Drosophila melanogaster: one gene and its partners. The gene in region 4 interacts genetically with the main gene of each other region. Each region holds a gene or a part of one and is shown on either strand. Other genes may lie near its edges. The genes, in order: gcl, fs(1)N, trk and tsl.

The links.
Region 1: of tsl (region 4) and gcl, changing one suppresses a phenotype caused by changing the other (phenotypic suppression), as found in Drosophila melanogaster (one study listed by BioGRID).
Region 2: of tsl (region 4) and fs(1)N, changing one suppresses a phenotype caused by changing the other (phenotypic suppression), as found in Drosophila melanogaster (one study listed by BioGRID).
Region 3: of tsl (region 4) and trk, changing one suppresses a phenotype caused by changing the other (phenotypic suppression), as found in Drosophila melanogaster (one study listed by BioGRID).

What each region holds. Positions count from the first base shown.
Region 1 is NT_033778.4:8,721,226-8,729,561, forward strand, and holds gcl (germ cell-less), read left to right. Parts: upstream 1-3,032; 5' UTR 3,033-3,239; intron 3,240-3,415; exon of another isoform or gene 3,416-3,460; intron 3,461-3,679; exon of another isoform or gene 3,680-3,840; intron 3,841-5,389; 5' UTR 5,390-5,412; coding exon 5,413-5,546; intron 5,547-5,604; coding exon 5,605-6,552; intron 6,553-6,622; coding exon 6,623-7,250; 3' UTR 7,251-7,774; downstream 7,775-8,336. Other genes in the region: CG14767 (uncharacterized protein), read right to left, coding at 2,032-2,205; CG30357 (uncharacterized protein), read right to left, coding at 1-283; CG30356 (uncharacterized protein), read right to left, coding at 7,791-8,240. UniProt on the Drosophila melanogaster protein: Required for the specification of pole cells and germ cell formation. Mothers with reduced glc function give rise to sterile adult progeny that lack germ cells.
Region 2 is NC_004354.4:1,320,124-1,329,235, reverse strand, and holds the start of fs(1)N (female sterile (1) nasrat), read right to left. Parts: upstream 6,724-9,112; 5' UTR 6,663-6,723; coding exon 6,522-6,662; intron 6,464-6,521; coding exon 4,427-6,463; intron 4,369-4,426; coding exon 4,239-4,368; intron 4,182-4,238; coding exon 4,051-4,181; intron 3,993-4,050; coding exon 2,222-3,992; intron 2,168-2,221; coding exon 1,959-2,167; intron 1,899-1,958; coding exon 1-1,898.
Region 3 is NT_033779.5:10,269,816-10,274,749, reverse strand, and holds trk (trunk), read left to right. Parts: upstream 1-2,425; 5' UTR 2,426-2,540; coding exon 2,541-3,248; 3' UTR 3,249-3,293; downstream 3,294-4,934. Other genes in the region: Utx histone demethylase, read left to right, coding at 1-585, 645-784, 868-1,287, 1,344-1,553, 1,628-1,754, 1,844-2,038; Mulk (Multi-substrate lipid kinase), read right to left, coding at 3,294-4,301, 4,356-4,476, 4,538-4,635; CG4957 (uncharacterized protein), read right to left, coding at 4,877-4,934.
Region 4 is NT_033777.3:21,777,183-21,785,679, reverse strand, and holds tsl (torso-like), read left to right. Parts: upstream 1-3,143; 5' UTR 3,144-3,196; exon of another isoform or gene 3,197-3,692; intron 3,693-3,774; exon of another isoform or gene 3,775-3,962; intron 3,963-5,896; 5' UTR 5,897-5,918; coding exon 5,919-6,128; intron 6,129-6,476; coding exon 6,477-7,328; 3' UTR 7,329-7,566; downstream 7,567-8,497. Other genes in the region: Polr1H (RNA polymerase I subunit H), read left to right, coding at 7,914-8,031, 8,083-8,302, 8,367-8,391; CG6800 (uncharacterized protein), read right to left, coding at 8,467-8,497.

The DNA of each region.
Region 1 (8,336 bases), on a different chromosome or scaffold from region 4:
CTGTCGAGTATCCCAATGAGAATAGTGTACGCTCTTTAAGGGTGTTGAAAGCGTCAGTCTGGATTTTTAGTTCAGAAAGGGACGAGCAATTGATGGCAGTTGTATTGATGAACAAATCCCTTAGCTCATCATTCATCTCCTGTATCTCTTCTAGCTCCTCCACCGCTTCGACATCCTTATTCGCCTTAGAAGCATAGCCGCGCAGGATGACTTTATTTGAGGAAACAATGTCAATAGGACAACAAGAACTGCCTTCCGGAAATGTGTCGTCTGTGTGGGGCATTGCATTCGAATCTCGCAAATGCCTTCACCAGTTGGACAGCTTCCTCCGGATGGAATTTCATTGGAAGTAGTGGGGAATGTAGACTTTTGTGTGAGCAGAACAATATTTATAAAAATGTGAATAAGTTGTAAACGTCACAAACTAAGCAAAGATTCCCAAGGATCACGAGGGGGGACTTTAATGATAGCTCAACATTTAAAAGTATTTCGAGTGCGTTAGCAGGTGCATGGGTCCGCTCATGAAGATAAGCTGGCAAAAAAGAAGATAAGAAAGCTTCGCCTGATTTGATTTGCAGCCTGTGTGCTGATAGATGACAGCTGAATTAACAATTCTCAGATTTATGACAGCACGCTTCAGAATGTTGTTCCAGAAGAATATATCTTTCTTACCGAAAAGCAAGAGTAAGCCACCACAAGAGTAAATATTTTCGCATCACTTGTCGAGTACGTGTAGTTATTAAAAATAACTTGAACGCTCATGTTTCTGGTTGCTGTTTGCTCAGATGGCTGCCGTTGGATATCCGATTCAGTATCTAAGTATCTCAGGTTGAAGGCCTTGCAACGACCCGAGATGCGGCAACTTGCCATCTTTAGTTAAATTATTCATCAGAAATTCATCATGAAATTTAATCTGCAGTGCGCCGCAGTATATCAACAATTGTCACTCTGGGGATGAGTCAACCAAACAACAAGCAACCTTCGATTTGCGGAATTGCTTTGTTTTTAAAGCCTCTAACGCCATACATATCTACAAAATGTAAACAAAGAAACCCTTGAGATTGGACAGATTAGAAAAGATAACTCCACTGCTGTCCACACCATAATCAACCCATGTGACGGAGTTTTCTACTGGAAAACGTGACCTGATCAAAGCATAAAGAAAGTAGCGGAACAGTGTAAAATATACACGAATAGCGTAGTGAGACAAATACTATTAAGCAAGGGTTTTTGCTCAACGACTCAAATCTTTTATTGGCCGCAGATTCGCGCTCTCTTAAGGGCAGAGCATTCTCTTTCATTTTCAGAAGAGACATCAAAGGTTTCTGGGTTTCCAAAAACATTGATAACAAGACTGAAAATACTGCACTTTGCACATTTATATCCCTTTTTTTAGCCAATAAAACTAATTTCTTATGAAACTTTTGAAAATTCGACAATGCTTTACATTTCTCCAAGTGTAGCGATTGCTAATGCGAAGTCAGATCTTGTGAAAGGTTAGTTTCGGACAATGGACATGGGATGTGGAAACTTCCGCAGTGGAACCGATGGCAGAAATAAGTTGTTGTGCCAAAAAGCCCCGATGATAGTACAGTATAATTCGCTTAGCTGCATCGATAGTTAGCTGCATCGGCAAGATATCTGCATTATTTTTCCATTTTTTTGTGTGAATAGAAAATAGAAAATAGAAAAAAAAAAATTAAGTTAGCTGCATTTTTAAGTTACCTGCATCGAGGCATTGTGCAAAGTACTCGAGGCAGCTAAGCGAATTATACTGTAGTTAAATTTGATCAGATGACGCAGCAGCGGCCAATCAGCCACCAATTGACGTCACAGGCGGGGAAAGTGCAGAGTTGGCTCGTCTTCGTCTTCGCAAAGTTTTGCAGTCATTGGCTGATTGATTTTTCCCTTGCGTGACACTGAGCAGGGTCAAAGGTTTTTCGCAAATGCCGCAGGACTGCATGCGTGGGTGTATCTCGATATACACACACGCATGTATGGATTAAAGGATACCCCCCTTGATGCACTTACCAGGTGCCACAATCCGATCATCAAAGTGGCCGTGTGGACATGCAGGCCGAAGCAGCAGGTGAACTCCTTCAGGTGACGGTTTCCGGTGCTGCTGCTACTTCCGGCGGCACCATTGTTGTTGTTGCTGTGGAGCTGGTTGCGTTGGGGACCCATCTTGAGGTGGATCCTAAACATTGCACGCCCCACGAAACTGCGGCTGTGGAAAATGAATGCGAAAACGAAAGCGATAACGATAACGAGTGCAGAAAATAATCAGCAATTGTGGGTGTTTTATTCCTCCCACGGATGTGTGTTTGTGTGTGTATGTGTGTTTAGGTGTAGGTGTGTGTTGCATCTACGAGTATGTATGTATGCATTTGTATTTATGTGTGCCACTTTTTCACGACTGATGCTTTGACCTTTTGCACTACTAATTCGGCAATTGATTCACTCTCCTTTATAAGGCGTACCTTTGATTTGTGGGCCAATGCAACTTGCACTGGTTTTCAACTCCGATTTATATCTGCAGCTCTTGATGTATTCAATTTTATTTAACTGCTGCGCAGCACGAAAACCCGTGAGCACTAATCTCTGAAAGTGGTAAAATGCCGCGCAACACGGTCACACTGACATTATGCGTTTTGCAGAACGGTAACGTTTATACGAGTCATTATTCGCAAATATCATGATATTATACAATAATTTTTGAATTAGATGTCATATAAATAAACAACAAAACGAAGAGATGTAAGCTCATTTATTTCTAAATATTCATAGTTTATGTATTTTGTGTCCCCAAATGTAAATTGATATGTTTTTATTACTATTATTGAAGTTAATATTATTTTTAAAATTTACTTCGAAAGGAGCAACTCAAGATAGGTTTGTGCTTCCGCATCGTAAAGTAAATATTAATTTTAAAAAGTACGGTAAGTGTGACCGGTGCGAACGCTAAAGCGCCAATCCGCAAACATCGATAGCAGCGATGCAATCAAAATACATGCTTTGCTATCGTAGGGTGACCATAACTAAAAGATTTGGAGAGCCAACTGCAGCAAAACAGAGATAAAATTGACAGCGAACGGAATTGAAATGGCTTAAACCGCATGCCTAATCAGACTCGCGTAGAATTTTAGCCCGTGTTTATTTTATTTATTGAAACGAAGCCAGTGAACGTGGGGTGCAATTGCTGTTATATAAAAGTACGGCACTGTAACTGCAGTTTTACAGTAAGTTTCGTTTATCAGTTCCCCTTTGTGTACCTTGTTTCCTTCAGTTTTGCGTCGTTCGTTAGCGCGCTCTCTGTCGCTCTCTCTCTATCTCTTTAGTACGTATCCATCCCACCCCTTCTCTGTTATTCCCAACTACGTCACCCACCGAATTCACTTTTGTTTGCTATTTATAGCTGCGGATTAACTGCACTTCGCAGCCAGGAACATGGGGATATAAAGTGAGAAAAAGTTGATGGTCTGGTGGTCCGTTTTCCATATCGCTAATCGCGTGTTATCAGGGCCAAACAACAGGCCATCGTAAATAAGCGTTTTAAGCTGTCAATCAGCTGATTTTGCATCCATAAATAAAAGAGTGCTGCTTGTAGCCTTATCTGTAGGTTAACCACATATATTAACCTGCTTCAAACACCTTTCTCCGATTTCGGACGTCCCAAATTTTCCAGCCGCGGTGGCTCAGTCGTCTAAGGCAACTGGAATTCCCTACGAAATCAGTGCGCGAGTTCGAGTTCGAGTCTCCGCCCATGCTTGTTGGCTTCTTCCGACGATCACCCACGTTATTTAGCCGTTAACTCCTTGGGCTACATTAATTTTTTTTGTCATTTCCCTAACTTACATGTGTAAAAAAAAGAGTATCTTACATGTGTTTAGTTTATCTCAAAAGTGGAACAATCCTCCTTTAAAAATGTTTGGAGTGGGTCTTCAAAGAGAAGATCATATGCTTACGTTTTTATAAACTTAAACTTCCGGATGATACATTTCGAAAGCAAACCTTATCCCCCAAGGTGCAGTAGATAAAATCTGTCAAGCGTGAAAACTTGTTATTAAGTTTATTTTAAACATGTTTTAAAATCGTTTGGAAATGCACTTTATCTTACCACCATCGAAACAAAAGCTTCAGGCACTGCAAATGTTTCAAAAAAATTAAAAATAGTTGACTATAATAACATGTATGTTTACCCTAAACCTTCCTTTAATTTCTAAACTACGACTTTTGGAAACTCGGGTTATACTTGGAGGTCCGGCTTTGTTTGGTGGTCTTGGTCATCCCCCTTTTGTTTGTTTCCCTCTCAATCTTCAATTCTCTCTGCTCTCTGGCTTCAAGTGGTGACGTAATTTAAAGCGCTGCAATCGTCTTGTTTTGGTCTTATAAGAAATACACGCTTTGGGAACCGGTTTGGAACACTACTCTTGTTTTCGGAACTGCGCCACACCAAAACAAACCTTTCTCCACCACGGCAAAATCATCATCATCATTATTTTATGCTTAGTCTGCGTCCGAATAGATATCCATAGTCCGAGACTGTCCGGTCGCCCATATCAATGAGATCCAATGAGGTGACGAAAGCGTCCGTTTGATTGTTTATGGGCAGCAAATACACATATATACGTGTAGTAGCAGTAGCTTCCAACGCGGCCTTGACATGGTTACATCAGCTCGTCCAGTTCCAGCATTTGGCGGCAAAGCATAAACACAACATATACGCGCATGGAATCGAGCTCGTTTGATCTCATTCTAATTATAGAGTCCCGCCCCTTTAAAATTACCCAAATATGTTTGCGCTACAGTGCGGTTCAGGTCGTTAAAATCGCTTTGAACGGATGCTTCTCTGTTTCTTACTACATTATGTATTCCATGCACACAATCTTAATAGACTCTACAAATTGAATTGCATTTTGTCGACCTTAATAAAATAAATGTTGCCTTTATACACACCTTTAAAAACTAAAATACTAAGATACATGACTTGTAAAATCTAATAATTAGTCTTGGGCTTATTGCGTACCTAATCAAAAAGACTAAGCTAGATATCAGTTCAGTTACTTGCAATCTACAAATGACTTTAAGTTTTCCGAGCATCGCTGCTCAGATATCTTATGACATCACCATTGTTTATGAATGGATGCGCTTTCCACTTGGTTTTAGGGCCTGTAAAGTCGCCCACACTAATGTTCGCCCACCCGGGAAAGGTTTCCCCGCCTTAACAGCGGCTGGCGTTACAGTTTGGCGGAATGAAACTGGGTCAACTGGTTCCATTGAGGGCACCATCAACACGCAATCTGTCAGATCGATAACAGACCGCATTTTTATTGTAAACTCTATTCATGTAGGGAAATCTAAAAAAAAAATTGTATATATGCTGTTTCAGAGTAAGAATTCCTGCGCTCAGCCATGGGTCAAATAGTGGGATCCATGCATATGAACGTCGCTGAGGTGTTCAGCAATCGACGGAAGCGGAAGCGCAGCACTGATTCATCTTTGGGGAAGGATGATCCGGCCCAGTTAGACACCACTCAGCCCAAAAAGTAAGTGGTTACCTTAATTAATTTAAGGTAATTTAATTTACCTGCTTAATTTCCGCAGAAAAAAACTTCTTACTACCACCCAGTACATATACAAGGCGCTCTTCAAGGAGGAAAAGAACTCGGATGTGGCTGTCATGGCTCTGGATAAGGTCTGGCACCTGCATAAGGTGTACCTGAGCCAGAGTCCATACTTCTATACTATGTTCAATGGGACGTGGCGGGAAGCCCAGCAGAATTTCATTCAGATCACAATCCTGGACGACCGGATCACCGTTGCTAGCCTGGATGCTGTCTTTGGTTCCATGTATTCCGATGAGATCGAAATCGAGTCAGCAGATGTTATCTCGGTATTGGCCACAGCCACGTTGTTCCACTTAGACGGAATCATCGACAAGTGTGCCGAGGTGATGGTGGATAACATTAGTCCGGAGACAGCTATCCAGTATTACGAGGCCGCCTGCCAGTACGGTGTGGTCGGAGTCAAGAAGTCCACCTTTCAGTGGTTCCAGATCAATCTGCTAAGCATTTATAGTAAGCAACCGAACCTGCTTAGGCACATCTCCATTGAGCTGATGAGTGCCCTGACCGCCAGTCCCGATTTGTATGTGATGCAGACGGAGTTCTCGCTGTACACTCTACTGCGCACATGGATGTTCCTACGACTGCATCCCGACTACGATCCAGAGGACCCGGTCCAGCGGGCGGAGGCGCTAAAGACGCAGGAGCTTTTGGTTAATGCCGGCGTGGAAACGCATGCGCCTAGTGGTGATGTCGTCCAGTGGACATACTTTACCAGCCGCTCGGAGGAACGCTCGTTCTTGGCCACGCCCGAGGGGCAGCCTTATGTGAAGGTCTTTCAGAAGCTACGAACCCAGTACCTGACCAACCACTACATGGATCTAAAAATCATATACAATGACAATATTATACCCAAGGAGTGGCTGTATCGGCACATTCACAACCACTGGGATGCATTACTACGTATCGATCATGGGCAGGAGGATTGGTAAGTCTTCTGAAGCCTCTCCTGGAATTATATCATTAAAAACTAAAATCCTTTTATTCTGCATTCACAGTAGTCCTCAGCAGCTGGACGATGAGCAGTTCTTTGAGAACTGCATGCGATGCGGACGTATGTTGCTTGAGCCTGGCTACCAGAAGTGGCGCTGGACGGGCTTCAACTTTGGCATGGATCTCATCCTGATCATGGACTCGCGTAGACTGAACATTCGTCGGCACCACCGGCACGAGCACGAGCGAGTGCTTAGCCTGCAGACGAAACGCAAGTTCATGGTCCGCACCACGGTGACCTCGATAAACGCCCAGCGCCAGGCAGTCTTCACCCAAACGTCCGAGATCTGTTCTCTTAGCCTCGAAAAGAACGAGGAGGTGCCACTCATGGTGTTAGACCCAAAGTTGGTGCATCCACTTCTCATTTCAATAAACATGCTGGTGGTAATGCCACCGAATCAGAGTTTCAAGGAAATTGTTCCGCTCAGCGAGGAGGCGACAACCTCTCTCTCCATACCCATTTCGGAAATCGGAGCAAACAGCGACAGACCGCTGTCCCCGTCCAGTGCTGATGATTCGGCCGTTTTCATTGGTGACTCTGAGCCTTCGACGCCATCCTCGCCAGCCCCACGGCCCAGAATCGCTTGGTCGGCTAGCGAAACGGGCGCAATCTGCGGACAACTGGCGTGCTGAGCACGTGCTGAGCAGTCCACCAAACCAATACCAGTACCACCACTACCACCATTTTTTTGTTCATTTACCCGCAGCAGTTCGGGCTCGTTGTAGTTGTTTTGTAAATTCGTTTATCGCCATCGCGATTAGCTACGGCTGATCACTCCATCTAGACGTTTGTACATCGAGTATAAGCATATCCGCAATCGTTTTGGAATGCGCAGATCTATATTTTTGTATATCGTTTACATCACTAGTATCATGTAATGACGCTTTACGTCATCTACTTAAATGGAGTAGACGCACACTCTAGTGCCCTCGCACAATATGTAGGCGTTGCAAATAGTTTGTAAATTTGGAATTTAAAGATTAATTGTTATGTTTAAGTAACAAGAAAAAACGCGGCAAAGAAATTATGGTTTAAGCGTCTTCGAATCCTGCAAGTTCAACGCATGTAATTACTGTCCCTAACACATTTTTACTCGCTAAATGTACGCACAGTAACTATTACCTTGAGTGATCATTTATTAAAGATTACACTTAATAAAAATCTGCTCTGATTTAGTTTTGATTGTGATCCAGGTCGAGAAGGTTCCTCACCACAGATTCCTGCCAAGACTTTAAAAAGTTCATCAACATCCACTGTGCCTGTGGTCGGCATTCTTCCCCAGCAGCGGATTTTCGCAGTTGCGCCAGGACCCAGTTGACTTTTCTGCTCCGCGATCGATACGTGTAGTTAAATCTTCGCGCAGCAGCGATAAAGGGTTCTTTCTCCGACAGACTCATGTAATTCCACACCTTGCCGGCAATTAGAGTTACCCGATCCGACGGCAAGTGGCCAAGGCAGTTGTTGGAACATTTTCGAAAGTAGGCCAGAAACTGAAAGAACGGGTTGCGTCCATTGCAATCGTTGTTTTGCTTTAGCATCGAATGTCCACTGATTGACGTCGCCTTGGCGGCACTGTTGCAATGGGCCGACCTTACTCTATTATTTTTTACAGCACGTCCCATTTTGGGAGAAATTTGAAATCATCTGAATACACGAGTCTAAAATATATATGTATACATATATGTATTTGTCTAACAATTAAATCAAAGTACATATTC
Region 2 (9,112 bases), on a different chromosome or scaffold from region 4:
ACCACTTCGTAGAAAGTGACGCGTCGAGCTTGAACCACTGCCAATAAGTACATGGCTCCGGGTGGCCGATTGAGAGGTAAGCGTAGGGATAGTAACTGCAAGACCTCCCCATCTCCGCTCTTAGCTTCTTGGGCAGGTGCGGGGAAACGGACAAAGTCCACGAATCCCTGCACACCGCGGTAGATAAGCACTCTTATACGGCAGCATCCCTCCATAAATGCTAGCAGCGTCTCATCTCGTACCCGCAACGATGTCAGATGGCGTGCTCCATGCTCCCCTGCTAGCGTTTGAAAGAGCGATCCATTTGCATGATGCAGTTGGATGTGGGCGGCTGGCGCAGTGGAGGGCGTGGTGGGCGGAGGACCGTCTGTTGGTGTCACCACGGTCAGCCGGGCGTAAAGAAGTCGGGGACGGTTTGCTGGTCCCACAGCGAGGCGAAGTGTTTGAATGGGTCTCCAGTCGACTTCTGGTAGCGGCAAACGCTGCTCATTTCTGTCCGAATAGGAGGCAGCAGGTCCCTCGTCGTCTTCCTCTTGCCCTTGAAGCTCTCCTTTAAGGTTTCTCAATCTCTGAATCACCGCATGCAGCTTTTCATCATCCCCCGAGCCATTTTCTTCATTAGCCAGCATCAGCACATCCAGCAGCGTTTGCTCCAGAACTTGCTCCTGGAAGCTAGAATCGTTTCCACTCGAAACCTCTCGCAACTCCTGCAACGTGGGCCAGATGAGCTGGGCACTCCGTGCGGCCAGAACTCTTGCCGGCGTGTTTGGCAGTGGAAGAGTCTCTGTATCTAGACGCCGGCGCAAGGTTCGCAATTGGCGCATCAACTCCAGAAAATCCTCCACAAGGTGCTCGTCGAATAGGTCGCTTTCTGGAATACTTAACTGGGTAATGTTTACCTCCGCTTGCAACCGGAATTCCAAGGTGTCCAGCAGACGTCTCCGCATTCTGGCCATCTCCGAAGGACTCAGTTCATGTTTATTCTCTTGCCACTGTGATCCGAGCTGAGACTTGATGCTGGGACGCTGCAGATACTTAAAAGCTTGCTGGTAACTGGGATTAGGGAGTGGCTGGTTTTTAAGCTGCTCATATTGATCTTTGAGATTTCTTAGGGTGTCCGCTGATAGTTCCATGTGCTCAGTAGTGCTCTTTGTTTTGTTCAGGTTCCAGCTCAGCAGAATGGGCTTCACTGCACTGCAATTCAAGCTTGGCTCGTTCTGATCATCCTGCAACTCGTAGCTGGTCATAAAGGCAAAGTCCTGGTTAGAGCTTGTGTTTCCCACCCGTAAAGCAACTGCCTCGTCCACAGGTCCGCTCTTGAAGGCTCCGGATCGATCGAATAAAGATCCATTCCAGCGGTGGATGCGGGTCCAGCAACCTCGCTCGTTGATCAGAAGATAACTAATGCCCCCGGGTGCCTCCAAAGCAAATACTCGGCGAATATTCTCCTGATCCCTTTCCTGATTTAAATCAAATCTCCGCCGCAGCTTCTGGACCTTGTAAGGCAGGAGAATCCTGACCAAACCCTCGCAGAACTCCCGGTAGCTCTCTTCTGCAGTTTGTCGACGTGGTCGCAGCTCATCACCCTGCTTCACCTGCAGTTTCTTTACGCGCCAGTTCCCGCTTATTTCCTGCTGCTCCCGACCTCTTGCCCATAAGCTTCCTCCGTACCAAGCCCTAAAGTCAAATCCATTGATGTTCTGTTGCGCTCTCAAAAACGGAGCATGCAGAGTGTCGAAATATAGCGGCGATTGCAGCAGCACTGGATCTTCGCCCAAAATTGCCACATCGCTTATGTTTAGACCATGAACTGGAGCAGTTACCTCCAGGGGTCCGGTGACAAAAATGTTAGACAACAATAAAGGCGTATCCACTTGCTGCTCTCGCAATGGGTTAATCTGAGGATGCAAATGAGTAATGGGGGTTATTTTGAGTATAAATTGTCGTACTTAACTCACCATTAAAGTGTTGGCATACTCCTCTGGTAGATTGTAACCATTAACAGTGCCCCTTACCACCAGCTGGCCATCTAGGAGCAAATCATCTGCCTCTAGGGGATCGCTTAGCTGTTGCTCCGTGAAGCGGGTGACAACCAGTGAGAGATTAACTTCGTTAAGCTCCTCAACCTCCAAGAAATTACCATCCAGCGATCCCTTTGCAAACGCAACTGAAATGCGAATATGATTGAATGGAATTATAAAATGAAGAATCTTTTACTCACTCTCAGGCTGTTGGAAATCGCGATCGACACGAATAGTGTCCCGGAGCCACTGGCTCACATTGCATCCGTTAAGCAGCTCTCCCGACAGTACAAGGCGATCTGCTTCAAGATGATCCATTTTAACATCAGCCGCAAAGCGAACAGGTGTTTCCAAACGTATCTCTCCCTGCGAATCCACGTAGATTAAATTCTCTAGGAACTGTTCTAGGTTGCGTCCATTGAAGAACTTGATGTGAGCTCCATCTTCAATGCGAAGACGGCCTGTGAAAGTCTTGTGACCATGCAAGTGTATGCCACGCTGCTGCTTGAAGACTAGCTGATCAAAGAGTTCCTGAACGGGCTCACGGCTGCGATTTTTCAAGTGGCCCAAAACCACTAGGCGTTCTAGCTCCTTTTTTGGAAGTTCAACGACTCCCCGGTGCACAAAGCCACCTGCATTTGGATCCCAGCGGAGCAGTTTCTGCAGATCAGCAGGAATGTCCGGATCTCCGTTTACTTGACCATTTAGCTGCAGGTCCTCCACAAAGATGCGTCCCTGAATGCGGACATTTCCAGTGAGGTGCAGCGGAGATAATTTGTTGGCCATGTGATTGAAGGGAATCCCATTCAGTGCAGCCAGATGAAGCTCTTTAGTGTTAACAGGAGCCAAGAAGCTTTTGGTGCCCTCGATCAGCACCTCGTGCGCGTCGGAGCGCAGCACAATGTCATCCAGCAATTCTGGGAGCAGGCGCTCGTTAAAGCTGCCCAGAACTTGGAGGTTCTGCTGGAACTGGGGAGATTCTTTCAGAACCCAACGCGTCCCTAATTCGTTCTGCCTATCCAGCCAAACGACTTGCCTCTGAAGTTCGTGGAAGGGTTGCATGTTCAAGGTTTCAGCTGCTTGCACCGAACCGTTGACGGCGATGCGTTCAACTTGGATGCGACCCTGAAGGATCAGCAACGGGAGCTCGTCCAGCTGCTGCAGAAAATCCAGCAGAAGGTCTGCCTTAATGCCCTGCAGCTGGTTCGCCTGCACACCCTGGGGAAGAATAAGCTCTTGCACGTGCACTTCACCCGACCAAGTCCTAGGTTGCTCCTGTAGAATACGGATCAGGCTTCGTCCATTGAGTAGCCCGTTGCCAGAGACATCATAGTTAACCTGCGCTTGCCCTGCCATCAGACGACTAAAGTTAGCTCTGCCTAGATGGAGCGGTTCATGGAGCAGCTGGTAGCCACTTGACAGCGGCACCTTGTTCAAGGTGTTTTCAACTTGTAGCCGGGTGAAATTTGGGGCATGTCCAACAAACCGAAGGCGTGTGTGGGGAGAACTCAGGGGAAATGGGCTATCTAGTCGAAGACTTTTGGAGAGTAGTTCCTCTAGGCGAACTCCGTCGTAAGAGGACTCTTTCCCAAGCTCCAGCTGATGAAAGTAAACATACCCTCCCAGTTGACTCAGATTCGACAGCGTTTGTGGCGTGTGCTTGGTAACAAAGTCATTGAGGAAAATTCCACTGAGCTGATTATCTGCGATATGAGCATCCACTGGCAGAAGCAGCTGGTCAACTCGCTTTTGTCCACTTATCTGTAGTTCTTGGGCAGAGTTCGGCGAACGCTGAACGAGATCTCCTAGCAGAGAGCCAAAGCTGTCGTTATCCACCTTTCCAAGCAGCCGCAAAGGGCCACGCACAAGAAGCTGTTCGAAATGGCAGTCGGCACTGATAACACGTGACTCCAGCAGAGTGGGATTTAAAGGTGCCTCCTCAAACTGCCTTCCCTGGGCGCTGCCATTGAGCTGCTTGGTGATAGGGACTTAGTAATGAGAGCCAGTGAATAGCTTTCTAAGTACAAACCTCCAATTCTTCAGAAACCTCCAAATGCGAGAAGGTTACCAATCCCGGCCATTCCTGGGAATCACTGAGAGTAATGACATCATGCGGGTATACGGCGTTGATGGTTCCCGTCGTGTCCACAGCATTTGCAGCTATTGACGATAAGGAATCTTAGAAGGAAGTTCCTCTTTTCCGTTTAAGATACTCACAAAGCGTTTGCGTAAACTCCTTTGGCGCCTGGACAACACTCGTCTCATTTCCCTGCGACCAGAGATAGTCTCCTGGAAAGCTTAGGTCGTTCAGAGAGTGCAAACTTAGTACATCTTCGAAAATGACCGGCTGTAGAATGACAAAGATTGACTTAGCAATTAAAAACTCTGCCGAAGGACCCACTTACTCCCTCTACATGTAACTGCGAAAGCTTAAGAGGCTGATGACGCCACACCAGATCTTGAAGCAGCTTGTCCCACTCCATTTCGTTAATAAAAATGCTGTCCAAATCCGTAGCCATCTTCAGAATTTTGTATGATTCTGCACCGTGGACTGGGACGAGCTCCAATTTCGGAGCTTCCAGAAGTTCCAATTGCTGAACATTGAGGGTTCCCAGATGCAAGTCAAGGGAGCCATTTCGGATATAGAACGTCTCATGGTTGAGCTTCTCCAAGTTAAGTTCCACAGAGTCAACGGCTTCTACTTCCAGTTGCTCGTAGTGAAAGTTGAACAGCGTCTCTGGCTGGCGTTTAGATCGCCTAGAACTCATTTCCCCGTCCAACAGAAGTATCTGCTGAAGCAGGGAGCTTACATCCACAACAGCATCCGCTCCCGTCCAGCGAGCTTCATTAACGAAAAGTTCCTCAACGGTTCCGCCCTCGCTTACAACCAGTGGAGTTGATAGCTCCTCGATGTACTGACTCTCCGACTTCTCTGCCAAGAGCTCTTCAGCCAGCTGGATTAGCTCTTCCTGTTCGTGCACCCAATCCTGCATGAACTGTCGGATCTCCAGCAGGTCCTGTGTCTCCGAATTCCTAGCCAGCAATTGAGTTTCCAGCACAAAAATGCCCGTAGGAGCTTCTTTCCTGGGCACCACAACCAGCGGCGGCTGATTCGTCGAGCGGCGGAGCAGGACAGCTCCTGAAATGCCAGCCTCACGATCCTGATCCAACATGCAGCCCGCCCCATAGGCAGTACCACAAGGAGGCGGCAAGCCCGCCTCAAACGCCTCACCGTTCCAAACCAAAACCTCCAGGACGAGCAGTGAATGTGTGTCAAAGACAACTCGATGCTGGACGAGCAGAAGTAGGTCGTCTCTGTAGCTGCGCACGGGGATTGGAAGGTAGTGGTCTACAAATCCAAAGTTCTGGCCAAGAATGGTGCGTGGCACAAGCTGACCCTGCACGTAGACCAGGATCTGCGGCATTATTCCACCCAGCGCAAGGTAGCTGCGTCCGCCCATTTGGAAGGCAGTGACGCCGGCCACCTCGGGGGCAGCAACTTGTTGGCGCAAGTGCAGCGGTTGCCCCTTCGAAGTGCAGGCGTATATCAGAACCTCGTCCCACTGACCCACTGCCAAGAGCAGTTCCCTCCCTGTATCGAGAATGGCCAGGTTGGAGATCGTCTCTGCCATTTGCACACGTTGTGCGATCCAGAACTCCTCCGCTTCCAAATCATAGACGTAGATATTAAGCGTGTGATTTGCTACGAGAGCGAGGTAATCTTGTCCCTCCATGTTGAATGCTCTAATCTTGGTCACATGCGAGCCAATCGTCCAGTGCCAGATGGGTTTTAGCCCAAGACTGGGCTCCAATCGCAGCCAGATAAGCTGATCCTGGGAAGCCATCACCAGCAAACCTTCCTGCATATGCACCCTTCTGTTCCAGCGATCTGTTCCCAGCATGGCGGTGATGGGAAAGGGGTGGACATAAGACTGCAACGGAGTGAATTCCTCTGAAAGAACCAGGAGGCCCTCCTGCTGCTGACCCACAAGGAAAACGCTTCCATTGGCCTGGAGGGTCAGCCAGCGATCCACATCCGTCGGCATGCTGTAGTTGAGCAACTCTTCAATGCGACCCAGGACGAGCATGTCGCGGGTGCGCCTCTTGGACAGCTCCAGGCGCTGTAGTTGTTCCAGGTCCACGGTCTGCGATGTCGAGTGCGACTCCACCACATTGGCTTCCTGTACAGTTGCTCCCAGCACCTCCTGACGGGACGTGGACACTTGAGCCGTGCTCTCCTTGCTGCTGCCTCTTGCTTTCAGCAGAGCTTCCAGCTGGAGGACCTCTTGGTTCTGTCCCTGGTGAGCCACCGCCTGCTGAATCTCCTGGCGAATGGCGGAGGCGCTGCTCAGCGAGCTATGGTCCACCACCACTTTGGAGGTCTTTCCAAGCGGCATTTGCCCCGCCTGCTGGGTCCACGTGGGTGCCACCACCACTCCTGGCTGGGATCGGCTATGAGTGTTGATTGAAAACGAAAACCAAGCTCACTAATTTACTCACTGGTGCTCCTCCATCGTCGTGTTCCAGAGCTTTTTCTAGTTCGCTTCGCAGCTTGGCCACCTCGGCCTTTTGGTCGGTCAGGGGCCGCGGTGGGGCACTGGCTATTAATGCTGGCCAGAGCAGCAGGTGCCAAATTAGCATTTTGCACACAGTTAATTGACAAAAAACCAAACACGTGAGGCAGATATGCGAAGAAAAAACTTTAAACCGTTTACCGTTTTAAAACGGGGCTGCCGGATCGCTAGAAAAATTAGTCGCGACACGCTCCGGAAAAGTGCTGCCAGAGCGGAGCAGTTCGGCTATCTGGTCACCTTGCCTTTATCATTTTCTGGTCTGGTTATCAACTTCCCTCATTTTCATTCGTGTTTTGAATTTGCTGCGACCGGACGCGTTTTCTGTGTGAAGGCGATTGCGCGGCGCGCGTTTTCGCATCTTAAAAACGGTCGAGTGCAACAAAACGGGGGAGTTGGCCCACAGCGATCGGCCGGTCGGAAATGGGCTTTTGCTGAAGAAAAGTGAGTCCTTGGGGTTAACGGTGAATGTGTTTTTTGTGCAAGTTGGTGGCTTCTATTTTTTTTTAAGTGCGCGGCGTTTTGCTTTTTGGGCGTGTGCCAAAATCATTGCTGCTTGAAAAAGGGAGCAAAAAGGAGTTGCTGGAGAACGTGAGAGTGGGACGGAGTGAGAGAGAGAGAAAGAGGCGCAGAGAGCCTGCAAGCAATTCCCGTTTTACCGGGGTTGCGATTAATGCAACTTTTGTGTTTATATTGTGCTGCGAATTTCCATTATCTGGGCGTCCGCTTTTCGGCCACTATTACCGTTATCTAGGCCCAGCTCCTGTTTACCGTTACTGTTTGTGAGTGTGAAAAATCAATAAAATTCCCTGTGCGTGCGCCCAAGTGTGCCTCTGTGTGTGTGTGTCCAGCAGCCGGCTGACGTTGCTCTCTCTCTTTCCATCACTTCCTCACTCTCACTTGCTTCCCTAGTAACTGTTCCTGCATCAACAACAACAACAAATATAACAACGCAGCTGCTATTAATTTTGTTGTCAAAAAACGAACAAATTGCGTGAGTTAGCTAAGCTCGCGTGTTTAATTAGTTTAAAGTAACGCTAATGAAACTCGGCTAGCTCGCTGTTATTGTCTTACCAAAACCGCTGCAAACAAACGAACGAGCGAACAAAAACAAAAACAGCAATTTTAATGGGCCGACGGTAAACACAGTGCGCGAATAAAAACAGAAACAAATTCGTAGAAGCTGTGGGTGAAGTAGAAGATGAGAACTAATTTCTAATTGCATGATTGACACTCGCACTCCTTCCACCCGCCCCCGCCCTTCCACCTATCTCACTGATGCATTAATCCAGTTTGTTTTGCTTTTCTTCTTCGTTCTGCTCGCACTCCTTCCTTCGCCCAATTTCGTGCACTTTTTGGGAATCAGGGAACTTTGGGGAGTGACTCACTCACGTTTCTTGCCGAGTGTCATAAGCGTGACTCACGGCCATGACCCCGTCCAAATGTGGCTGCCCTCCCACTCGCGCCTCCTTTAAGTGCGTCCTTGAGATACAAATCTCTCTCGAGTGGACACTTAACATGCGAGGAAGAGATGGAGAGAGCAAGAGAGAGGGAGGGTGAGAAGGGAGCGACTTGAATTCTTCCTTGGCGCCCATGCCGTCACTTTGGGGCGTGGCCAGTGCCCCCTGGCGATGAGCTCACCAGCAACAACAACAACAACAAAAACAACAAACGCGCATTTCCCCGGGCAGCGTGGATAAAAGCGATGATGCAGGGGGCGGAGGAGCAGGCGAGGTGCACGAACTTGACATTGAACTGCGCTCGGGATTATGATCCGCTCGGAGACTCCTCCTCGATTCGCGTTCTTTGGAATCCAGAACCCGGACATCAGATCACGATTTCGCGTCATCGTTCTCGCTTTTGGTGTTCAAATTCGGGATCGCACCCAAACTGTCTGGAATACTGGAATCAGTGCTCACATTTGAAAAACACATGAATAACTTATAAATGCTTTTTCAATTCCTAAGCATGAATTACTCACTCACTGGCTTCTTTTAACTCTAAATATTTGTTCTACATAATCTCTCACAAGCTTGCTGCATTTTGAATTCCACAAACCTTGTACCCACCATTATAGACAAGATCTTCAGGGCATTCCAGAATCCTTGTGGCCGAGTCCAATAAGAGATGCTGCCGCCAGCTGGCTTTCGGTGTGGACTGTCAGCAGCTTACCTAAACAAAAAAAAAAAAAAAAAAACAGGCAGCAAAGCTGGGAAGCCAGATCTCTTGAAGAGGTTGGTGCCCTTTTTGGGCTGCGCCTGCGCACAAAATTCCTCTGCGTCCTCTTCGATCTGCGTCTCCCGATCTTCATGCCCAGCGCGTGCGTGGCGTTACGCTGGGCTGGTCTGCTGGGAACGGAGGCAGGAGTTCTCGTGGAGCAGGGGCAGTAAACCTGCCTCCAATGTCGAATCCCACATCGAAGGCGAAGCTAATTTATCGCTCCGAATGCGTTGTTTTGTTTTGCTTTTCTTTATGCGAACTTCTTATTTTTAAAAGAGGAGGAGAATTGTGAGATTGCCA
Region 3 (4,934 bases), on a different chromosome or scaffold from region 4:
GAGAGCATCAAGCTCGAACGTTTGAGCCAGGATGCACTGAGTAACAATGAGGACTCGAGGCATGATTTTATTGGCGGTGACAACGCCGACATCTCGACCACGTTCAAAATACAAATGGACTCGAAGCAGTTGATGGTAGCTGTGAAGCTGCTGCCGATTGATGAACCGCCCGTGCACTGTACCATTTTGCAAGTGAATGCGCCGCCGCCATCTCCGCCCGATTGCCCACCGCAGAAACTGACGCGAGATCAACTCCTGCCTCCCACACCCTCTGTTCATTTAGAAAATAAGAAGCACGCGTTCAGCCCACAGTTGCAGGAGTTTTGCCTGAAACATCCGATTGCCGTTGTACGCGGCTTAGCGGGCGTCTTGAAGCTAGATCTCGGTCTCTTTTCGACCAAAACGTTGGTGGAAGCCAACCCGGACCATAGTGTTGAGGTTCGGACACAAGTGCACCAGTCTCCCGATGAAAATTGGGACACTTCGCAGGGTAAGCGCGTCTGGGCCTGCATTTCCCATCGGTCTCACACAACCATAGCCAAATATGCCCAATATCAGGCATCCAGTTTTCAAGACAGCTTGAAGGTAATGTTCGTTGGGTTGGTTCCTCTTTAACATGAATACAAGTTTACTTTATCGTGTAGCTTATTTTACCGCAGGATGAAAGCGATAAAGGTTTCCCCGGCTCGCAAGCAATGTCGGATTCAGACTCAAAGGACTCGGTATCCAATTCGAACATTGTTCTCAAACGTAAAAAACACAAAATAAACAGCAAAATGTTGAGGTAATAGAAACTCCAAACCATTTATGTCTGCATTACGAACTTTATGAACATAAATTAAATGCTTATTTCGCTTTTTTTTTTAGGTTCGGGACCAACGTGGACCTCTCCGATGAAAAGAAATGGAAACCACAATTAACAGAGCTACAAAAACTGCCAGCTTTTGCGCGAGTTATATCCGCTGCCAATATGCTATCACACGTGGGCCACGTCATTTTGGGCATGAACACCGTTCAGCTGTACATGAAGGTGCCCGGAAGTAGGACGCCTGGCCACCAAGAGAACAACAACTTCTGCTCAATCAACATCAACATCGGTCCTGGCGACTGTGAATGGTTTGCCGTCCCTGACGCCTACTGGGGCGGAGTTCACAATCTTTGCGAGAAGAACAACATTAGCTATCTGCACGGCTCGTGGTGGCCCGTCCTGGAGGATTTATACAAGGAGAATATACCAGTTTATAGATTTATACAAAAGCCCGGTGACTTGGTTTGGGTGAATGCCGGGTAAGCACTGAATATGAAAGGAAGGATGATGTATTAACAATCAAACCTACTTTCAGATGCGTCCATTGGGTTCAGTCGATCGGTTGGTGCAACAACATTGCGTGGAATGTTGGACCCTTGACTGCCCGTCAGTATTCTCTTGCCATCGAGCGATATGAGTGGAATAAAGTGCAGGCCTTCAAGAGCATTGTGCCGATGGTGCATTTAAGCTGGAATCTTGCAAGGAATATTAAAGTGTCTGATACCAAACTTTTCGAGCTGATAAAGTGAGTTAGCAAATGATAGGAATCACCATTATGCAGATACTATAGGGCATACATATGTAATTTGTAATTTTCAGAATGTGTTTGCTGCAAACGTTGAAAAACGTATTGCACATACAAGAGTATGTCAAATCGAAAGGTGTGGAAATACGTTTCAATGGACGCGGAAAGAACGAAGCATCCCATTACTGCGGACAATGCGAGGTATTTAGCGTAGTATTATTAACATATTTATACAGTTTCCAAAGGTGATATGAATGCAGTTTATTTAATCATTTGTGCACTCTTTGCAGGTTGAGGTTTTCAATGTGCTGTTCATCAAGGAGCAGGAGAAACGACATGTGGTCCACTGCCTATCGTGCGCGCTGAAGCTATCTCCGTCGCTCCAGGGAATCGTTTGCCTGGAGGAGTATCGTCTGTCTGAGCTGCAGCGCGTGTACGATTCGTTTACTTTACACAGAACCCAAGGACTAGCATACACTCAGTAGTTGTAATACGAGGAATCATTTTAAGTAATGCAGATTTAATATATGTATATTTTACAACGTACAATATACTCTCTATTGTTTTGATAAAACATAACGGTACGAATATATAGAGATGGGATTTTTCGAATAAAGCCATCAGAGCAGTTTTTTCGGCTATTATGTTTGATAGTCGAAAAAACTGGAGCCCACTTGAGTAGCGAAACTTACCTTATGATGACAATTTTATTATGACTTCAAATATTTAGACCCATCTTTTATAGTTTAATTTAAAAAAAAAAACTTTAAATTTATCCAAAGTTTAGAATGCGTTTTAATTATATATATGAATAAATTTAATTTATAATCTTTCGCAATGACACTGAAATTAAAATCCTTCTTTTTATTGAATTGGCTGTTATTACTTTAGTACCTAAATAAGTTACAGTGTAGAGAGCAACGATAACTGCTGTAAACACGATAAATCAATTGGTTGATATTGGTGTAGCCCTGTTTTTAGCCAGCCATGTTTCTGCGTATACTGTGTCCAACTATGAAATCCCAAAGTGAACTGGCCATTGTGCTCACTTGGTTGGCAGTGCTGGGGACGGCTCAAGATGATGCCGATTACTGCGCCGAGCTATCCACGCAGTCGCTGGCCAAAATTCTGGGACAGGCATTTAATCCGCGCTACATGAGCATCGATCCGCCGGGCGAGCCCGAGGAGAAGAGCTATCATCTGGGATACAAGCGATCGTCGTACGAGCTGCCCTTCTATGCGGACAGTGATGCGATTTCGGTTAGCCACTTTCCCGCCTGGGAGACCAACCACTTTGCGCTGGTAGAGAAGAAGAAGGAGGCACCGAGGAGCAAGAGTCTGCGCACGAGAAGCGCCTTCATGGATCGTGTGGGACATCCGAGAATCGATGGGTTCAAGCAGCGGCCGTGGGAGTGCTCGTCGAAGATCAACTGGATTGACTTAGGCTTAAATTACTTTCCACGCTATATCCGTTCGATCGAGTGTATTGCCAGAAAATGTTGGTATGATCACTTTAATTGCAAGCCAAAATCATTTACAATAAAAGTACTGCGCCGTAAAACTGGCTCATGCATTCGAATAAACGATAAATTGATTTTGATCACCGCAGAGAAGTTTGAGAATGATTATACGCAGCTCTGGATTTGGGAAGAAATAGCGGTTAACTTTTGCTGTGAATGTGTTATGCTATACTAGTAGCGCCATTTAATCAAGATTTAATTAATATACACGTTTAAAATGTCAACAAAAAACTTTAATAGCATTGGGAACAACAGATACCTTAATGGGTCTTGCATCGTACTCCTCGCCATCGATGGAGTAAAACTTCTCGCCCATTTCACCATCCGGATGCAGTTGAATAGTCCTGCTCTTAACCACCAAGCTGGGTAAAATTTTGCTGCACGTGACTTCCGGAATTTGTTTGATAAACTCCCAGCCCGGCTGCAGGGAGCTTATAAACTGACTTTCCAGCTCCGCAAAGTTATCCTTGTTCTGAACACAATTGATGTTAATCTGGCTGGCTTCAGCGCTTCCCTCGAACTTCTTGCTGCAATTGTCGTTCTTGACGAGCGGCCTCTTGGTTTCACCCGGATTATTCTTGTACTTAATGAGGCCTCTGGTGAAGAGGCCAGAAGGCTGGGCGGTCTCCTGGCGCTGCACAGTAGCAGCACAGTCAACGCAGCCAGGACACGGCGGTGTGTACACATAGTCGGTCTTAAGGCTCCAGTTATCGGCAAAGGACTTGGACGCAGCGGAAGCGTAGTGTCGCAGTGGTCCAAAGTACCAGTACTTATCCTTTGCCGCATCGATGTCCTCCAGCAGACCCCAGGACAGACCATTAAGACCGAATATGGGCTTCAATTGGCTATTGCTGCCATCTTCTTCATTGATCACATCAAAGCGGATCACACTCTGGTACTGGCTCTCATCCTTGAGCATAGGTTCAAGGGCTTTCGAAAGACTTTTCACATAGTCGACGTCCTTGACGCCAAAGATGTTGATGCGCTTGGATGCGGACTGCACCGAACGTCCCAGCGGAAGGATGGTGATCGGGCAGAGATTGCCGCGCCTACGCATCAGCCCAGTGACCACCTCCGATGAGGTGCCGTCGCCGCCGGCAACAACAATGGCATCGGGTAGCGTTGCCAACTCCTCCACGTAGGTTTTGGCATGACCAATGTGATTCGTCCGAAGGATCTCCACCGAATATCCAGCTAAATGCAAAACCGGCTCGCAGTAGTTCTTAAACTGAAAATCTATGGCTGGGTTATCATCTTAGTCAGCTGTGTGCCAGCTACTTACAAACTTCTCCGATCTCTTCTTGTTGGCCACCGGATTCATGACCACCAGTACCTTTTTGGGGCGATCCGATATCCAGTTGGCCTGAATGTTGGAGGCGAATTCCCGCATATGTTGTTCAATCCTGGAGAGCAAATAAGGGGGTTAAAGTTGCGTCAAATTTTCACGGTTTTCTGAATGCATACTCGATGTGAGTTTTCAGCGCTTGCAGCGCGTACACAGATACTGCCGCTCCGAACGTGCATTTCTTCCAATTATTCCGAATTACTCTTAAATAATTCATATTTTCAATTTCGACCGATGATTTTGATTCCACATGTATTGGTTTGGCCGCACACAAACAGCTGGATTTTAGATCGTCAAGGGTATTCCAGCCAGTTTACATAAGCTTTAAAATAACAGAAACGTTTAGCGCTGAAACGGGAACACTGAAAATTGCACACTCTGTTACTTAACAGTGTATCTTAATCAGTTAGAAACAAATTTATTTATTCAAGTTTAAACTCAACGTTTTATTCAACAAGTCATTTTTGTTCCACATTGTCATAGATATCCTCTAAGCCTGGGAGGTTTCTCAGTTTT
Region 4 (8,497 bases):
AAAAAAATGCAATAAAACATAATAAAACAAAAAATACATAATAATAATTGCAGCCGCGTTTAATTCAAGCAAAAGCAAAGTAAACAAATGGAAAAAACATAGAGTGAGCACAAAACACACATACTAACTGCAATTACGAATTAAAATAATTAGCGAAAGGATGAGGAGATTGCAGGTCAACGCAAAACAGGCAGATAAACGTATAAATATATATGACAAAAACAAAATGAAAGTAGGAAATTCAGAAAATATGTATACACAACACATATATATATTTTTCGAACAACTCAAACTCAGGTTGGATACATTGAAAATCAGTCAAGTTCAATAAGAATAATATAGCGGAGCGCTTCCTTTTAACCCACAGCCAAAAACGAGAACTCAACAAGGAGACCCAAAACCGAATCGAATCGAATAAGATCCTAAGTCGCTTTGCATTGAATTGAATTGAATTGAATTAATCGTAAACCCACTGGCCCAGTAACCACCCAAGCAAGCAGCAGCTTCAAATTTTCGAGATACTTTACAATGACACCGACAAACTGTCTTAGCAATGAAGAAACCTGGCATTTTTTTTAGTGCAGCTTCATGATCAGCAACCAGCGCTCAGTATTTCCGCTTTTTCCCTCACTGTAGCCCCCACATGGGAGATATTCAGTTTCGAAAGAAAATTGGTAATTTTGAATTAGCTTCCCTAACATAGAGCTTCTGAGATGGACGAAACAGAAACAGAATTTAGACTACGTCTACGAAGTTCACAAGCAATCACATACTACATGTAGTTGATGAGTCCCAAGAACACGTAGTTACTTTGGGTTAGGATCGGATCGAAGATATGTCACAAACACTGGAGATCGAACTTAGTAGTTAACCAACACACATTTGTATACACGTGCCACACAATTCTCTAGCTGTCCCTCAAAACAATTTAAGCCTGAGCTTATATTCGAGCCCAACCACACGACCCACTTGAATTTCCCAACCGCACACCACACAAGTTGAAGAACATACTTATATCCAGAACAATTCTATGGTTTCAAAATGGTTGAACAATTTTGCATAGAGTATTATCGTTAGACGCTGGGCTATAACTTTTCGGTTCTGAGCGTGGATGAAGATGAGATGAAGATAGCAGCGATGAAGTTAAGGAGAGGCAATGCAAATCATAGAAGTATCCCAAAAAAGAAGAACAACCGAACCTACCCGAAAAACTGAAGAACTAACTACCTACCCACAACCACAAATGCAGCCAAGTGGCCAAATTAACTAAGTATTATACCTTAAAGCGAACGATAGATTGAACGAACGGACGAGACGAGATGAGATGAGATGAGATCAGATAGGAGGAGGAACCTTATAGATGACACGGCTTGAGATAGATGTATGTACATTTTGAAGCTCCCCCAACCAGGCTAAGTGTGCCAGAAAACACCAAAAATCGATGAAATGATTAGGAAAAGAATGCTCAAATCAAAATCTTATATTTTACGGTATTACAATGATTAGGAACGATTGAAATGAATTGGAAATGGGGGGTAAAAAAAGAAAACGATACCGACAGAGAGTATCCTGAGATTGAGCTAGGATTTCGAATGATTCGTTTCGTACTTTTACTTGATCCTTTTTTCTTAGCCGATGCGAGCAGATTGTAGCTGTACTCTAAGAATAATTTCACACTAAGATTAAGTAAAAATTTATTGTTGATATTACATAAAAAAAAAAGAAAAGGAAGACGCAGAAGTGAGATGAACACGGTCGCGTAAACCAAATGAATTAGAATTTTTCTCTAATTTCATAAGTCAATGATCATTATGATGATGATATGATACCGAGGGTAACGATGGTAAAGATGAGTTGAAAATGCTTATGATCTCCAATGTCAATATGTGTAGATTGACGCGATTTGAGCTAATTGAGTGAATTGTTATTATAATAATAAATGAAGTGAAATGAATGGATCGGCAGATCGATCGATCGTTTGGGGCGCAGAAGGCCGCGGTGTTAGTAAATATCATTTAAAATAAATGATAAAAATGTCATTATATATACATAGTTTAAACATGGGATTAATAATAATAAATTAAATGAAAAAGAACCGAAGAAACTGGAATGAGAATTAAATAAAAACGAGTAAACACTGAAATACCGAATTTTAAATACATAAGTTTTGAATCATGCATGCTGCAAAGACAAAGCAAAACCCACACAGAAACCGAAACAAAAGTAATAAAATGAACTTCTATATATGAAAAGAGAAAAATATACGAGAGATACAATTTCAACCAGCTTTTGCAATACTTTTCGGAAGCCCTTCCCCCAACGCCTCTTCCAAAAGAAAGACCCCCCCCCATATCAGCAGCAAAAAAAGACTTCAAATCAGAACCTTTTCATTTCTTAGAAGCCAGCAGCGAATTTTGCAGAAATTCCCAATGGCCATTGGAAGTCAAGGCAAATGCGACAAAGCGGATGCCCTGCAGCCATGGCTCTTTGAGCAACAGATACAGATACAGATACATTTGTATCTTGAGCTTCTAATTGAAACATTACACTCGAACTTCAAACGTTGTCGCCCAACACTTTGAGTTGACCCAAATTTGTTAGCATGTTTTCAAGGTAATGCGAATTTGATACTTTCGTTTTCGTTTTTATTTTTCGGCTTACTTTTGGTCTCATTATTAGTTTTTTTTTTGCACAAGTAGTACCAAAAGTTTTTGATTACTGGCCGCCCAGTTCTATGGGAATCTTGCGCAAGTCTGGCCCGGGTAAACTGCAATCATTTCAATCTGCCTCGATTCGGCAGCCCTCCGACTCCCCGCGCCATTGAAGAAAACTGGAAGTTGAACGACGTGCTCGGAAATATTAATAAGCGGAAAAGCTGTCCCCCCAAACGGCAGATGTCAACAATAGATATTTGTGCCAGGCCATTAGCATTAGCCATAGCCACTACCGTTGGAGGAGTAGAACTTCTGCTGGCTGCCAGTCATTGAACTGCAACTGCTGCCAGTTGCTCGGTTGGATCAGACGACACGACGCACAGCAGCAACATGTTGCTGTCGTAGCGCAACATATATTGTTGCTGCTGCTGTAGCTGCTTGAACGGATCGGCTTGTTCTCTCCGGCGATCGAGTTTTTGGTAGCCAGTTTCAGTTAGGTTTTGAGTCTTCGCGCTTGAAGGTGTGCTGCTCGCGTTTTGAGTGTAAGTGCTGCCGCAAATTCCGGCTTATAATTGCAATTGAAGGCACGTCGTCGCTCGTTTTAGTGTGTTTTAAGTCTGTTTTAGTGTTTGCCGTTCAGGGTACTTGACGACTGCCTGTGTGTGTGTGTGTGTACGTTGTTGGTTGTTGAAATCTGCGCAAACGCATGTAATTCGAACCACAGCGATCTATTCATAGATCCGTCTTATCACTTGAGGGCGCCAACCAAGCCGCCGACCTCTGACCCACAAAGCGTTAAAAATCGGAGTCTTAACGATGCTAATGCCAGCCATAAAGCCAGCCAACCAGCCTTGTGCAATGGCCCCCGGTATCAGAGCGATAAGGCTAACCAGTGGCGAGCCACAACTCTAGACCTGCGGATTTGTGTCGACTGGCATATAGAATTAGCCGGAGCTTCAAGCTTCTGCCGAAAATAAAACAAGCCGCTTCTGGCCGATGGTTACGTCAATTTCGATTCGCGTTCGAGTTCTCGTGCAGGTAAATAATACTACCACAAAAGTGGCAAAAGCAGCAGCACCTCAGCAGCAGTCAAGACAACTTTTGTTTAACACCGCTCAAGGAAACAACGCACACGGACCAAGCATAAAATTAAGCGCGATATAAACTGCAGACCTTATGCCCCACGTCTGTGCCCTTCGCCCGGGGTTTACTCCAGACTACTACCACAAAAGAGCTCATGAAATGCGCATAAAGAATCTCCAATTGACTGGGCCGCGGACAACCACGGTGGGAAGCACTGAGAGAAATGTATGCAGGTTTTTTAGGATGTCCAAGAAAAATACACATTATAAAATCTTATTGGATAAATATAGGCCAAATAACAAATCTAATAACGATTTAAATCTGATAAAAGCATAAACAATTGGAATAAGATTCCAAATAGCTCAAAAGAGGAGTTAAGAGCTGACTGATTCTTCTCTTATTCAGTTCTAGTCCTAGATAGCCACACTCTTTTCTCCCAGTGCACAGGGAGTCACAGTTGAACGAGTTGATTTTTAGTTGCCTTTGCTTTGGAGTCCGAGTGCGCGCATTGAATTTTTGATTTAATTCGTCTTCTTCATCTCGAACTCCGGTTCGCGGCTTCTTTTTTTTTTTGGGGTCTTTTGCACAAGGTTATGCGTCCGCTATTGTCAATACCCCCACCGACAAAACTAACTATCATTAAGTCACATAACACATGCCTTTCAAGCGGATCTCAAATTTTGAACCTCAAGTTTGGCAATTGTGCGACAGTTTGATTTTCTGGGTCTCGCGATGGAGAACTAAGCTCATTTGGGCATTAGTTGTTTGCCAGAAGTTGGAAGCCTTCGAAATCGTATTCTATGCCGAGTCAGAATGTTTAAATCCGTAGAGTGATTGCAATCTGTGAGGTTCATCTGTAAGGTCAAGACAGCTGATTGCAGCATTTAGCAAATATTCATGTGTTTATAAAATGTGCAAACAAATATTTCCTGGAATCGCGCCCATGGGCAGTAATATATGTACTATAGGCAAGTATAGACAAGATGCAGTAGTCAAATGTCTCTTTTTCTTTGTTCCATTCACGGCTAGTTTCATTCAGTCACTCTTCCTGCTGTTTTTTGTTTAGTTTTTGCTGCTGGACAAGTTTAGCGACGCCTACATTTTATGGTTCACGTAAATGGTTAACATTTGAGTCTCATCATGGCTGCGTTTGTGTTTTTTTTTTGTCTGGTGCTGCGCTTCAGTGCGTCGGGTCGACAGGTGTGACTCACAAACGTGGCTAACACCCGGCTAACCTCTGTGTTTTTGGCCCATCAAACACGTCGCTCGTTCTGTGATAACGGCTCGAATTAAAAGCTGCCTCGCCAAGCTGTTAGAATGTGTGTATATGTCTGGCTTGGGCCAATTTGTTTGGCTTCCTTGCCGGCCATAATGCTTGGACAGAAAAAAAAAAAAAAAAAAACAAAAACGGCATAACCGGTCCTCTGAAGTGTAGTGGGCCAACTATAGGAAAACGGTTACGAGGCATGCAAAATGTTTTTAGGAAATAATTTGCAAGTCAAAGCGACAGCCGAACCAATTTTGATGGCTATACTTTGTAGCTGCTTTTACGGCCACAGAGCCTGCGGCTAATTGCATCCACTTAAGGTGATCAGAGTGGAGCTACGCAGAGCTCCAGCTCATCATCACCACCAGCTGGTGGCCTCTACCCAAGTCGACTTGGTCGGTTCAAGTTCAGCGCCACTGAAGGTTCATGGCCAATTAGAGCGCGCTTATATTATCGCCCGTTTATGGAGTGGAAAACAAACACGGCGGCCCTGCAATTATTGCTGTTTAGTTAACCCCACTGTATCGCAACTACTGCACTGGCTATAAAATATAAACAAACCACCGAAGTAGCTTGCTGTAAAACTTTCCGGTTTTAGTCTAAGTGAGTAATGAGTTCGGATGGTATAGCGCTGTTTGTACTTGCTTGTCATCAATATGCACATTGCAATCAAGAGTTATCTAGTCACTTGAATAAATTATTGTGGGATAGATATGCCTCATTATTGTTAAATTGCGAATTTTATAAGAGATCGGAATAGGTTGCGTTTGTTTCAATCAATAATATTTTATAGCAAGGGATTATATGGATATGGAATATGGAAACGTTTGCCTAATTCAAGTGTAATCGCTTTAAATTTGCAATATAATATTTCTATTATAATCCTCTATAGATCTAACCTTGAATGCTGAGCGATGCGGTCGTGGCCTGGCCTTTTCTGGCTGCTGACCCTGGCGCTCCTGGCGGATGGAGGTCGTCGCGAGTCCCAGCTCCGGATCGGCAAGGCCATCAATATATTCCTGCGCTATGGCTACCTGGGAATCTCCATGCGTGTGATACCGCTCAATGACAACTCGGAGCCGGATCGCTGGGTGTTTAAGGAGCCCACCAAAAACATCTATAGGGTAAGGGACTTAAGGCAGAGTTAAGCTTACATTTAATAAATTAAATGGCGTTGATGAACTCGGAATTGTTTGTATTAACCTTTAACCACAATCACCATAATTATTTGGAGTATAATCAAAATTTTAAAATAGGGTTTAAAGTTGTTATCACTTAAAACTATTTTTAGTTGTAATTATATTGTTCACTTCCGCCACGTTTGTCGTTAGAATGAGCGCTTATTATATTTGTTTGATCAGATTTAGGAAAACGATCATTATATACGATTATTCAAGTATGTCACTTGATATTTATTACCTGATAATTGAGCTGACTAGACAATTAGATAATTAATGATTTTTTTCTTTCAGAATCTGAGTGGCCTGGCGGAGAGTCATGAAGACACCACGCCCGGAATCTTTCATGGAGACTTTCACATGGAGTTCTGCGAGAATCGGAGGCAACTGTTCCAGGCCTACTTCCGTGACTTTTCCATTGAGCGAATGGACAAACCGTGGGAGGCATTTACTGGCGGATGGTTTCCGGATAATGCGGCCAAGAAGCTGGGCATCAATACATCTTTCATCCAAGGCGATTACTCGTATGTTTTGGTGAGGGTGGTGCGCTTCAGGGAAACGGGGCGTCTTAACGCTGAGATTCCGGTGCACCAACCCTTGGAGCCGGATGTGCGATCGAGAATGGATCAACTGCAAATCGGAAATATAACTTCCGCAGTGCGATTTATGGAAGATGTGGGCACCCACTACGTAAACTCATACACCACCGGCAATTCGCTGTATCAGGTGTTTGTGTACAGCAGGAAGAACTACAGCATGATCAAGGAGCGAATCAAGAGTAAAGGTCTGAACGGACTGTCCAAGTTGGATCTTTACAACTACTTTGCGCCCTGGTTTGCCGCCCATCTGGGCCAGATTCGATCGGCTAGTGCCAATGCTACAGTGGAAAGATGGGCGAGAAGGAAGCTGCAGTACGAGTACTATGTGGTCAAGTATGTGACCCTGCTGAAACTGCACGGTAATAGTACTCTACTGCGATCCCTGGACTCGCTGCTCGGCAACGATGCCATACTGCAGTTGGACCTCAAGTCGCTGAAGCCCATCTTCCGGGAGGAGCCGGAAAAGGAGAGCTGGTACCACGAGGTTCTCGACAACAATGTGAAGCTCTGGGAGCTTAACATGCCGCAGAGTCATCCCACCCGATAGCTGCATTTTAAATATATATATACTGTGCGATATGTGGCAGCCAAGGATCAATAGTTCCTAGATGCTTAGTTGTAGTTAGGAACCTCTAGTGCGTAGTTAATGTTCTGCCTGTGATAGTTTTAGGTAGTTTAATTGGAACACAGTACACATCCGACTTGCATTTCAGCTAACTAGACCGTAAGATCGCCTTATTGATGTAATAGTTTTGTAAACTTTAATACAAAGTAAAGATAAAAGTAAAAATCTTACTGTTTTCATAACTTGATATTGGCTATTAAAATCTAACTGTTTTCATTACGTAATATTGGCTATGAATATCAAATACTATTTTGAAAGTTTATTTTGAATAATTGATTTTGATTAAGAACCGGTAATCGAAACGGGTAAACGGCTCTACCCGTTTCATCAAGGCTTTCAACCAGACTTATTCTAGTTTTCCACCCTTACGTATTTAGTATATGAATCAAGTATATTTTTAATACCGTGTGGTATATTTCAAACGGTTCAGTTACGCTCATACTGAAATCCGAAATAGCACGTGCGGTTTTTGTATTTTGATTTTGATTTTGGGTGATATATACTGGCATGGATATTTTTTCCAATTGTCCGGGCTTTTGCCCCTCCTGCGGCTCCATTCTGCCCGAGCTTCAAGTCAAGGGCAATGTGATTTGCTACAACTGCAAGAAGGAGTTTCAGCCAGATGGTAAATCCAGAAATTACAACTTTGTTTAATTTATTTAACACTTAAAAATAGTTTACAGCGGCGAGAAGTCCGAGTTTACCATACACTTCAACACCTACGATCCCAGCAAGGTGTTCAACAGGACGAAAAGGGAGTCGGAATCGGACGCGGATGGCCCCGTTGTGGAGAGGAAGTGTCCCAAGTGCAACCACGACAAGATGTCCTATGCCACCCTGCAGCTTCGATCGGCGGACGAAGGCCAGACGGTGTTCTTTACCTGCCTTAAGTGCAAGTAGGTGTCCTGATAAACATATTCCTTCACTTCCACAACTAATCACACACATTCTACCTTGCAGATTCAAAGAATCCGAAAACTCTTAGTTGCTAGCAATGTCCGTGTAAATAGTCCTAGATTAATGAAAATAATCATGCTCGACGGCCTGAGAAATATAGAATTTACCAATTATAATACCTAACCGGTGTCAAA